Cricetulus griseus: one gene and its partners. The protein of the gene in region 1 binds, or shares a complex with, the protein of each later gene. Links are inferred from orthologs where the notes say so. Each region holds a gene or a part of one and is shown on either strand. Other genes may lie near its edges. The genes, in order: Tert, H/ACA ribonucleoprotein complex subunit 1 and Wrap53.

Region 1 (3,503 bases):
TCATTATTTTGAAAATGCAGGCATTTTCTATTTATATTGCTATTTTTTTCTTTATTAATAAATTTTTATTTAAATTAAAAACAATCTTATTTTACATACCAATCCCGGTTCCCTCTCCCTCCCCCCACCAACTCCTCATCCCACCCCCACCCACTCCCCAGGGATGGTGAGGCCTCCCATGGGGGTTCATTAGAGTCTGTAACATCATTTGGGGCAGGACCTAGGCCCCCCTACCCCACCCCCCCGGTGTATCTAGGCTGAGAGAATATCCCTCCATAAGGAATGGGTTCCCAAAGTCCATTTGTGCACTAGGGATAAATACTGGTTCCACTGCCAGCTGCCTCATAGACAGCCCAGACCTCCGAACTGACACCCACATTCAGGGGATCTGGTTCAGTCCTATGCTGGTTCCCCAGCTGTCAGACTGGGGTCTGTGAGCTCCCTCTTGCTCAGGTCATATTGCTATTCTTTTCTAGGTTAATTCTTGTACTTTAATTTCTCTGGGTGACTTTACTCCTAGTACTATAGCAAACCAACTTGGCACATGGGTTTTTGGGGTTTTTTTGTGCTACTACTATATGTTAATTGTACATAATAATGGGTTTTGTTATGACATCTTTATGCACAAGTATAATGCATTTTGACCATATTCATACACGCAGCCTAACATGGGAAATTATAAGGTTCAAAGCCAGTGTGCAGTCTCCACATATGAGAGCATGAAACAGAAGTATTGCAAGTTTGAGGACAGCCAGCATTACTCAGAGACCCCAGTGTTCACACGTCTGGACGTCTTACACCTAGCATGCTAGGAATTGTTCCTGTGCTGTCAGTAGATGGTGCTGTATTCCTTCTGGTGACATCGTGTCTAGAGACATGGATCTTGGTGGCCACTGGATAAAAAGCAGGCATCCTAAAGAGTCTGTTGCAGGAGATGAAGGAGCCATCCCCTCCCTAATCCTGTCAGCTCTTCCTCCTGACTGCCGCTGTCTCTGTGGAGAAGTTGGGATGCTACTTGTGTTGTGACCATCGGTAACCACAGCATTATGGGGGTGTCTGACCCAAGGAGAGCTGACTGTGGTGCAACCTGCTGTTTCTGTGGCTCTTCCTGCTAGGGTGCTAGATTCTCCCTTTTCCTGTTAAGACTCTAGGATGGAGTGGTCCCACACTGTTCTATTGTTGAACTGTGCTGTGGCAGTCCTGGCCAGAAAACCATGTGCCCCTCTGGTTCCCCTCAAGTGTTTACCTCTTCTGTGCTGCAGGTCTCCACCCTCTCTGACCTCCAGCCACACATGGGCCAGTTCGTGAGGCATCTTCAGGACTCAGATACCAGTGCGCTGAGGAACTCCGTTGTCATTGAGCAGGTCCTTGGGCTCCCCATTAATCGGCCGCACCTGGTGGGGCCTTCCTCCTCTACTTGGCTATTTGCTTCAGTGTAGGAATGTGACCAAGGTATTCCTTGGTGGAGAGTTCCCATGACCAAGGCCACTCTTTCCTGGTGGCAGTCCCCATCCCTATGACATGACCTAGACTCCCCAATAGCTACTAAGGTGGGCATGCTCTGAAGTGCCCTTTATACCCTCGTCCCCCATACTCCACTGATCTACTAGTGAACTGGTAAAAATATCTTCTCCCTCAGTTTTGACCTTGAGACCATAGTTTTATTTTAGTGGGCAAATTGGACTTGATCTGTGGTCCCCATCTTGGCCCATTCAGTTTACCTATGCCACACCTAGGAGATCTCCTCCCACAAATCAGTGGTTCTACAGAACTTCCTTTGTACATATCCTGACTTTGGGGCAGCCATGCTCACTGAGACCTTTGGATGGTTTTCCTTTAGCTCAGTGGGGTGCTGTGTGAGCTCCAAGTTCCCCAACCTAGTGCTGTAGAAATATAATAGGTTACATTGCCACTTTGTAAGTTACATACCCTGTCACCTTGAGTCAATTTCTTCCTGGCCATGCAGGGACACTTGACCCTGGCCCCACCCCTACTTTACCATGAACATTTTGGTCTTACAGGGTCATCTGGTGGCAGAGTTCTGCATCCTCCCACTCATCTGTCCACATGTGTCTGCTTTTCTAGAGCTTATCTCTGAGTGAGGCCAGCAGCAGCCTGTTTGACTTCTTCCTGCACTTTGTGCATAACAGTGTTGTGAAGATCGGTGGCAGGTAGGCACAGGCGTAGGGCAAGTGGGCAGAGGCTGGGCAGGTACAGATAGAGACCATCCTGACTGCTGAGCAGGGTGCTTGCTAACTGGCTACAGCACTTAGAAGCCTATCTGACTGGCTCCCTCTGCCTCATTGCTTCCTCCCCACTCCCCTTCATAGAATTTTCTTGCCCTTCTGCTGACTGGGCCACGGGGCTGCCTACCCATGAGGCCCTGGGAGTTCCTGACTAAGCATGGTCCTAATGAAGTTAATAATTTTGTATGCCTCGAGTTCCTGTTGTTACTTTGACAAAGTGGCAGGGGCACCTCACCTGTTTAGCCAGGCATGAGACACATGTAGACACATGAGACACATCAACAAAGAGAGTGCAGTGCCTATGGCTGAGTCCCCCAGAGACTCCCATGAGTTATAAGCCAGAGCAGGTACCCTTTGAAAAGCACTGCTGTAGTGAAGGGAACCCAGACTGGCTCAGTGCTAGAGCTGTCTAACAGCCCATCAGCCTGCAAAGACCTACTTTGTATGTCTGGATCAGATGTGAGGTTGAATATTTGAGCATTTGGTTGCATCTTCTGTACCCAAAGTCCCCACTTAGAGAATGGAATGCACTTGGCACCTTTTTGCTGGACTGATAGGAGCCTACACAATGAGTGCCAATACAGAACAGAATTCCAGGCTCACACCCAGGATTATTAGAGATGAGGGCAGGCAGGACAAGAAATATCTGACTATCAAAAGTCACAGTATGTGTTGGGCTGTAATTGGAAATGTTTGATATGCATGCTGGGAAACCACAAGCTACAAGCATGCAACTGGGTGTTTTTTTCACAAACACCACAAAGGGTGCTCCTGAGTCCTGATAATACTGAGCACAGATTTGTGAGTCTGTGTCCATGTGGTAGATAACTTAGTCCTAGTGTGGGTCAGCCAGATACACTGAGAAGTCAGGTCTGTGTACACCATGCCTGGAGAGCTTCCTAACAGATACTCTAGCCAAGGGGACTGAGTCTGTGCAAGGGGTCAGCTCATACCTACTCTTTCTCACACACGGGTTCCCTGGGTAAGTTCCCTGCCTGACCATCTGAAGGTACCCACCCCTGCCGGCACCCACCCCTGCTGGCACCCACCCATGTATGTTTGATTGAAGGGTGCCATTAGGTTCTCTGTGAAGAAGGCACTGACAATTTTACATGGCTATGACCCAGAATGTCCTTCCACTAATAATCTGTTACTAATTGTCCCAGATAAATATTCAGTTCAAGAGCCTGATTGCTTATCATTAATGTTTAAAATCTAAAAATTTTAAATAAAAAAAAAACAACCTGGAGTCAGTGA
Region 2 (4,254 bases), on another chromosome or scaffold:
TAACACTAAAACCTAATTTCTTTCTCATGACTTAGGAAGCTCCTTCCTACCACACCAGTCCTTTAATTCAGAACCTTCCCTGTCCTAAACGCTTCTGCAGGCTGCCATCCTGATACTTCAGTTTTCTCTATGAACACACTCCCTGCTCTCTGGCTAGCCCAATGCTTAAATACTGCCTAACTACATCAAAATTTTCCAGCCTTCTTTCCTGAAACTGCATTGAAGGTGCTACTACTTAAGAGTAACTGAGCTGGGTATTGATGGTACACGCCTTTAATCCCAGCACTTGGGAGGCAGAGGCAGGCGGATCTCTGTGAGTTCCAGGCCAACCTGGTCTCCAGAGAGAGTGCCAGGATAGGCTCCAAAGCTACACAGAGAAACCCTGTCTCGAAAAACAAAAAGAGTCAAATTTGTAAGGGGACCCAAAAGGATGTCACCTTAAGAGCTATCCTCAGGTATCTGTGATGTAAGACTCTTTCCTGGTTAACTTTTAGCTTTCAGTTTCAAAAGCAGCACTTCAAAGAAGGCTAGGATGAAATTTGGTCCCACTCTAGTTTCAGGTCAACCTTTTACTGTTTTAAACAGATTATACCATGTTAACACAATACCTGTGAAATCCTTTAGTGTCTTATCTACAGCTGTGAATTATCTGTTTTTGAGACAGATTTATTAGTATTTATCTCAGGATGGCCTGGAATTCAATTTGTGGCATAAGTTAGACTCAAAGCAGCTATCCTCCTGCCTCTCTGCCTCCAAGTGCTGGGACTATTGGCTTACATCACCAACTCTTGCCAAAAACATTACTTTTCAAGACTCTTATGCTTAGACTGAGTGTGACAGCACATACCTGTAATCCCAGCACCCAGGAAACAGGCAAGTTAAAAGACAACCAAGTCTCAACAAGTGAGTTCCAGTTCACCTGGGGCTACAGCACTGAGACACCTGGAGAAAGGAAACTCAATGCTTGTCTGTGAACTACACGTCAGCTTCAGAACTTTGCTACAACACAGTGGAGGGGCAGTAAGGGCCTCAAGTAAGACTATCTGTAAGACACAACATTCTCTTCTGAGTCTAAGAACTTTAATTGTAATTTTGACTCACCTTTTGAAGCTTTTTAAAGGAAGATGCCTTCATGTTTTCTGACAACTTAACTGAAAAATACTATTAATTACATTAAGGAACAAGTGAGAAAGATGTAAAAAGGTATTAAACTTTTGAGTTTAAGCATTTTAAAAAGAATGCCTGGCTATAAAAGTAAGAAATTTCCAAGAGGAGATTATATTTTCTTTAGAAAAACACAATCTGTATCCCCCAAGTCTACCAGGATATTCCAGTAAAGCAACAGCAGAGCCAATACAATCCTGTGGCATGTATACAAATGGCCACCATTCCCAGAACTTTCCAAAAGGACAGTGATCTCCCCTTGGTTCATCACTTCTAAATGTGCATGAATGCATTCTCTCCTACAGATTCTCTTTATGGCCTGTCTGGAGCATTGCTATCTACTAAATGAAGCAGTAAGTTTGCTTCACCTGATATTTAAATGGCTGGGGAGGGGAGGGAAAATAATTCTTCAATGAGATCACTGGCTCATCCCATTAGAAAGGATACAAAATCTCTCAGTTGTCCAAATATCTCATCTACTTTCCCGATCTGTTCTTTGTTTTCTAAATAAACAGGAGCGTTGAAGTAAGGCACCTTATTCTCCTCTGTGGTACATTTACAAACGATGTCATCTTCACAGGGATGCATGAACTCTCCTAATACTGAAACAGCACAAGAAAATAGACATGGAATCATTAAGATACTGATCAACTGTGCTGGAAGCATTCTTGACCACTTGGTCGTTCCCACTATCTGATTTCCAAGGTAGAGCTTAGTTATCAACACTGTGGTACTACGTTAGCACGCCATTACTGTGGAACCTAGAAGAGACCTCCCTTCTCTCTATACCCTGTACATGAAGCTAGTCACATGTAACTGCAGCCATACCTAATACATGCGTAACCAGACAGACCAAGTAATTAGAACAGTGCCTGGCGCCAGTTACCCTGCTATGACTTTTTACAATTTCATTAAACATTATATTTCCCTGACTAGTCTTCCTTTTCCCCAGCCTATAAACTTGAATCAGTCTGTTTTTTGATCATTTCCTACAGACTCCACTCCCACTGCAAAGGAGACTAAGCTCTGAAGGCCACTTACAGACGACACGTTCCGGAGGCCCTTGATCTTGGAATTTATTAAAACCTCCACGTCCGCCCCCTCGTCCAAATCCTCCTCGGCCGCCGCCCCTGAAATTGCCGCCGCCGCCGCCGCCTCCCCCTCGGAAGTGGTTATTGCTGCCGCCGCCACGGTTGAAGCCGCCGCCGCCGCCGCCGCCGCGACTGAAGCCTCCGCGGCCTCCGCCTCGGAAAGACATGTTGTGTGCGGCCTGGTGAAAAAGAAGGCCCGCTCCTGGTCACTGCGGCCTCGGAGCATCCATCCGTCCCCTGGGGCTCACCCAGGCCACCGAAGGGAGGGCAGCACTGCCGCTGCCCTGCCGCTCGCCACACAGCCAGCGAGGGGCGCCGAGACCCGGCTGTCCGCGGCCCAGCGCCGCCGCCGCCACATCCCGGCCGCCGCCTCCCCACACCCTCGGCCCGCGCCGCACTCACCGCGCCACGTGCGTCTCTAGCCCAGCGAGCCGCGAGCGCCCGCCAACACTTCCGGCGCGCTCAGACCTCCTCGGCCACCGTACCGGCACAGGCTTACCCGACCAGAAACGCGGAGGGCTGGCCGGCGGGAAGAGCCTGTCACTGGCCGACGCAGCGGCCCTGATGCTTTCCCTAACACGGGGTAGAGCACCGGAAGAGAAACAATCCCGTCCAGCGTAATCCTGCCCAGAACCGCACAGGCCGGGGTAGCGGAAGTGACGCAAAATAGCAGTGCCCTCCGTACGCGACGTTTCCGGAAGTGTGGTAGCGCGTTGCCCTTGGAGACAGCGGGAGTCTGGATCCTTCCGTCCTAATAGCTGGTGAGGCTTTCTGACCCCCAGACGTGCTGGCTTGGCTGCGAGAAGGTCCCGACCTGACTCAGCTCCACAGATCTGGGGTGGCCGCCTCTCAGGTAGAACCTGGGACCGCCAACTGTGTGTCCTTTGCAGTTTCTTGCCCCTCCCCCAAAACTATGTAACTCTGTATGCTATATTGTTTTTTGTCATGTTATTATTAAAATAAGGAGAAAGGGAAGGAGGGAGGGAGAGAGAGAGACAGACAGAGAGAGAGGGGGGGAGGGAGAGAGAGAGAGAGAGAGAGAGAGAGAGAGAGAGAGAGAGAGAGAGAGAGAGAGAGAGAGAGAGAGAACCATCTTTTAATATTTAGTCCCAGGTAACACGTTTGGAACACCGACAGACTGGGTACCAGCCTATAGACGCACCTCACCTTCCGTCTTCTTGACCCTCTTATTAAGACTCTGATATCGGTTTCCCCACATCACGAAAACATAATAAAGGAAGTGAACTCTAGCTATTAAATTTGACTGACTTATCTTATATCCAAATTGCCTGGAACATCTCTTGACAATACCACCTTTGCTGTGAAATTTCGAAGGCAAAGGTTGATCCCCATAGCAAAGAGTTATTGTGAATAAAATTTTGAAAGATCTTTGATAGAAACATTAGGAATTCAAGTATGTCATTTACCCTGAACTATAAACTTCTTGAAGTACATACTAGCCCCACATATAAAAAGAATTTGGCAAATGTATTTTAAATGCAGCTGGATATTATGTATGTATGTGTATGTATGTATGTATGTATGTATGTAGGTACATCATGGGAGGCTAGAGTTATTTGTATCTTTCATTTTGACATTGTCATCTAACATTAAGTTCAATGTTTGTATCTGCATTTGATGTCCCACTGTTGTCTCCAACTCAATATGACAAAACCATTTAACTTGTACAAGACCTTCAGGAACACCTGGCAGCTGACCATTTTATATATAAGTAAGGAACTGACAGCCAGAAGAGAGAAGAAACTTCCCTAGCTTGTGAAGGGGGAAACTAAAACCTCAATTTCTCACGAGTCCATTCTTTTCCCTCTCCCTTCTTTTTTTAATAATTTATTTTTATTTTATGTGCATTGGTGTTTTGCCTGCATGTATGTCTGTGTGAGGGTGTCAGGTCCCCTAGAATTGGAGTTACAGACAGTTGTGAGGTACCATATGGATGCTGGGAATTGAACCTAGGGGCTCTGGAAAAGTAGTCAATGCT
Region 3 (4,232 bases), on another chromosome or scaffold:
TCCAGTCTAAAACTTTAAGGGTAGTCATTTGTACATTTCTCTGTAAACCTGAATTTCTAGTCTTCCTGTGAGTTTACCTGAAGCCACGAAAAGAAAATTTCCTATCTATTGTTCACTTATTCTTTAGACTAAAATCACTAAACCTTCAGAGGGAAAGAAATTTATTCCCCTTCCCAAGTGCTGTGTGGAAATAGTACTTTTACAAAAAAGAAAAGAAAAAGACATGCACAATTTCTGGTGCTCAACAAGAAACTGCAATACAATGACCTGCTCTTCAGACTGAAGATGCAGTAGCAGGCAATATGTATATCGTGGCAGCCTTGCCATTATAAGAATCGTCCTGTACTGGCCGACTGCACTTAGGACCTCTGGGCGCCCCTGGCCAAGGCCCGCCCCTTCCGCTCTCAGGACGTGAGGAATGCGTTCAGCAAGGGAATGGCTCACCCCAAGACCGGATACTCGGTAATTTGTTTTTCCGGCACGAACAAACGACCTATTCCCACACTCTATTAAATAAACACCTCCTCCTCTGCAAAAGTAATAACGAAGTAATCCAGGAAAATGCGATGATCGAGGGTGGCAGTTTCCCTTCCTCAAGCACCAGCCAGGAATACATTTTTTTTTCCCATTCCTACTCCCCTCTGGTCGAGTGATCGATGAGCTGCTCCGGAAAAACCGGAAATGCTCCTGCAAGCGGCAGAAATGCAAACAATAACAGGGTCGGCGGGCCTTTCAGATCCAGACAATTAGTTCGGGCCACAAATGCAAACACTTCTCACTAGCGAGACTGACAGTTTTTCTTTGGACTTTCTTCGACTAGCAGGGTTGGGGTGGGGCTGGAAAAAAAAAATCACTCCAGGAACAAAGGTCCGGAAGTTGGAGACCTTAACAGCAGGACTTCCCGGATCACCCCGATTTAATTAAGGAATGGAGCCCGAGATTTCATTAGGATGCTAGGGGCTCTAAAGTCTTAAGCTGTGAATCTTGAAAGATCTCACATCACAGTGCTTTGTGCATGTTATTCCTGGGGCTTCCACCACCCAGCAGCTAGTCGATAAGTGTGTGGCGGGGAGAAAAGCGCCGGCTCAGTGGTCCCCAAATTCTCTATGTACTTCTTCTCAGGTGTTCGGCTGCTTGGTCCTAGCATCCCCACCATCTACATTCATCTACATCATGCTCAAGATTGTATTCATGGTCATCTCGCCCGCCAAGTTTCCATTCACCCCACCTCGCCCAACCTGCTGAGTCCCCCACTGCCCCACCCCCCAAACCCCGCGATTCTCTCTAGCCTCCAATTATGCGAACCGAGAGCCGGTGACTCAGAGAGGACTCATCAGGCTCACCCGGTAACTTACCAGGTCTTCAGGGGGGAGCGTGTTACCCCGCTGGGAAGTAGATTCCGGACCCGGATGCCAGGGACCCCCTGATCCCAATAGCTACCTGCAGCCAGGATGGTAGACTCCAGCACAAAACTTTTCAGGAGCACATGGGAGGGGAAAGTCCCTATCCCAGCATTCCTCGCGAGACTGCTGGCACAAAGCTGGATAGTCGCCATGACAAGTAAGGGCAAGCCATTCTGTGGGTGGAGGGCAAGAAGCGGAGGGGAGGGGCAGTTACACAGCCGGGATTCTTTCTGCGTTGTTGCCATCCATTCGATCGCTTTGTGAGAAGTACTCTAAGACGGAGCTGTGAGGGCAAAACTGGTGGAAACCGCTTCGGAAGAGCGCTGAACACTGCTCTTTCCGATCTAGCTGTATAGTTGGAGTCGTCTTCTTTTTGGCTTTTTGAAACAGTGTCTTTATAGCCAGGCTGGCCTCGAACTCGCGGCAGCCCAACTGCTTTAGCCTCCCACGTATAGGGATGAGCCAACGCGGGCAGCGGTTTTTTTTTTTTTTTTTTTTTCTCACCAGCTAAAATGTCACTTTAGAAAGGCTTTTCTTAATATCTCAATCTAACGTGTTCTCCAAGATACTTCATATCACACCATCTTGTTTAATTTCCTGTACAGTCCTTATCACTATCTGTGGAGAGTGTTTTCACAGCCTTCAATTGCACAGCCACGACAATTTTATGGGCATAGAGAATTTGCAAATTGTTTTCTCTAGTTCCTCGTATGCTGCTGGGTAGGAAGTAAGAGCGTGATAATAAATGTTGAAAGGAAGAAGGGAGGGAGGGGGGAAGGAAGGGAGGTGGGATGGACAGGATGGGAGAATGAAGGGAGGGAGAGTGGGAGAAGAGGGAGAGAGGGAGAAAGGAAATCTTTTGAGGTTGCCCGACTCAAAACGAGATTCAAGAAGGGCAAAACTGTAGAAATTCAGCGCCCTCTGCAGGTCATGGAGGGAAGGTACCTTAAGAATCACCCCAGCGGACGGTAGGGGGAACGCGTGTACTCTTCTCCAAGTCAAAGAGAAGACTACAACTCCCAGAATCCTCTAAGAATTCTCTAGCGCTTGAGGGCTGGGCCCCCTCGTTCCTTCCCGCCTCACCGCTCAGACGCTAATTAGGATGCAGAGAACCAATTGGAAGGTGGCCCGACTCCCGCGAGAGCAAGAAGCGCTGGCGGCGCGTAGCGACCCCAGGTGCTTTGCTCTCTGCTTTGGTTTCCCGGTGTTTGCTCACTGTTGCTGGCTTCGGCTTACTCTTCCCGGAAGAGTAAGGCAGGCACGTTGGGGCTGTGCAGTTCTGCACCCGGATTCCTGGGGACTTTAATGCAGTGTGGCCTCAGCAGCTGGCAGCCGGTGCAACGAGGCTTGCCCGGCCCCTGACCTCCTAGCTTGCTCTACAGAATGAAGACGTCGGAGGAGCGACTCTTAGTCCCGGACAGTCTCTCTTCTGACCAGGCCCCAGCTCCAGTGCCCCAAGGGACCCCTGTGGATGAAAATACAGACTCTGAACCGGTGCCACCGCCATGCGGTGGAGATGACCGACCCCAGGTAGCCACAGATTCTGTGGCTGGCTCGGTTGTGTTCCAGGATCCGCAACAAGGGGATCTAGTTCCTCCCTCCGCTCCCCTGGAAGTAGGGTTTAATACTCCCGGTGAGTCGAGCCCTCGAATCGAGGAGCAAGAACTTTCTGAAAATGCGAGCCTTCCTGTGACAGAAACGAATCGGCCTGAGTTGGAGTCAGGAGAAGCCGTGGAAGATGTGTCTGAAGAACCCGGTCAAGTGGATGAGGGAGACACGTAAGTGACTCTGGAGTCCGAGGAGCCTGGACATAGGAAAACGACAGCCTCCAGTCCTCAGCTCCGCCCCAGGCCCATTTTGCTGTAACTTACCCGTTTGTTGTTCTCCATCTCTTTTCTAGCTTTTGGACCTACAGCTTTTCACAGGTACCCCGATACCTCAGCGGTTCCTGGTCCGAGTTCAGCACCCACTCTGAGAACTTCTTAAAAGGTTGTAAGTGGTAAGTACAACGGGCAGGGAGATGACCACCTTCAGGGTTTTCATCTTAAAGCCCACCCGTATTTGACCCGTCGTAGTTGGACAGCCCTGTAATCTCAACATCTTGGAAACAGGGAGGATTGGGGGTTGGAGGTCTGCCTTGTCCATAGAGTGAGAGACCCTGTCTTAAAATAAGAACAAAAACTAGTCTGGGTGGTGGTGGCACATGCCACTCGGCAGAGAGGCAGGAGGATCTCTGAGTTCAGAGGCCAGCCTGGTCTACAGAGCGAGTTCTGTGTAGCCAGGGCTACACAGAAAACCCTGTCTCAGAAAAAAAAAAAAAAACAAAAAACAAAAACACAAACAAACATACTTATCTGGAGGTGGTTAAGGAATAAGAATACTGGTTAGTACCCAGGTTAAGGGTTTTTTCTTTTCATTGTCCTGTCGATCTTTCCTTCCATTTCTAGTACTGTGGATTTAGCCTAGGGTGTCCATCATGCTCGCCTGACCCTCACCAGTAGGCTACATCCTAGACTTTTTTTTTTTTTTTTGCTTTGTTTTGAGATACGGCCCTGCCAAGTTGTCCAGACTGGCCTGGAACTTGAGGTCCTCTGCCTCAGTCTCTCAGTAGCTGTGTGCCACCACTCTCCGCATGAGCTGAAGTTTTACCTAGGACTGATTGGTGTCTTCTCAAGGGCATATGTACTAAGATAGTTCTAGACCTACACCTGGAAATCATAGGTCTGTTCAGTTTTCTAATTTCCCTATGTTTTTAGGGCTCCTGATGGTTCCTGTATCTTGACCAATAGTGCTGATAACACTCTGCGGATTTACAACCTGCCCCCAGAG

The links.
Region 2: Tert (region 1) and H/ACA ribonucleoprotein complex subunit 1 share a complex: the UniProt entries of both Homo sapiens proteins name them as parts of the telomerase holoenzyme complex. The link is inferred for Cricetulus griseus from reciprocal best matches to the Homo sapiens genes TERT and GAR1.
Region 3: Tert (region 1) and Wrap53 share a complex: the UniProt entries of both Homo sapiens proteins name them as parts of the telomerase holoenzyme complex. The link is inferred for Cricetulus griseus from reciprocal best matches to the Homo sapiens genes TERT and WRAP53.

The regions. Positions count from the first base shown.
Region 1 is NC_048595.1:368,311,076-368,314,578, forward strand, and holds part of Tert (telomerase reverse transcriptase), read left to right. Parts: intron 1-1,262; coding exon 1,263-1,364; intron 1,365-2,085; coding exon 2,086-2,171; intron 2,172-3,503. UniProt on the Homo sapiens protein: Telomerase is a ribonucleoprotein enzyme essential for the replication of chromosome termini in most eukaryotes. Active in progenitor and cancer cells. Inactive, or very low activity, in normal somatic cells.
Region 2 is NW_023276806.1:29,074,880-29,079,133, reverse strand, and holds the start of H/ACA ribonucleoprotein complex subunit 1, read right to left. Parts: upstream 2,801-4,254; 5' UTR 2,658-2,800; intron 2,438-2,657; exon of another isoform or gene 2,435-2,437; 5' UTR 2,423-2,434; coding exon 2,206-2,422; intron 1,767-2,205; coding exon 1,612-1,766; intron 1,162-1,611; coding exon 1,102-1,161; intron 1-1,101. UniProt on the Homo sapiens protein: Required for ribosome biogenesis and telomere maintenance. Part of the H/ACA small nucleolar ribonucleoprotein (H/ACA snoRNP) complex, which catalyzes pseudouridylation of rRNA.
Region 3 is NC_048600.1:83,418,847-83,423,078, reverse strand, and holds the start of Wrap53 (telomerase Cajal body protein 1), read left to right. Parts: upstream 1-1,429; 5' UTR 1,430-1,486; coding exon 1,487-1,560; intron 1,561-2,785; coding exon 2,786-3,181; intron 3,182-3,303; coding exon 3,304-3,402; intron 3,403-4,159; coding exon 4,160-4,232. UniProt on the Homo sapiens protein: RNA chaperone that plays a key role in telomere maintenance and RNA localization to Cajal bodies. Specifically recognizes and binds the Cajal body box (CAB box) present in both small Cajal body RNAs (scaRNAs) and telomerase RNA template component (TERC).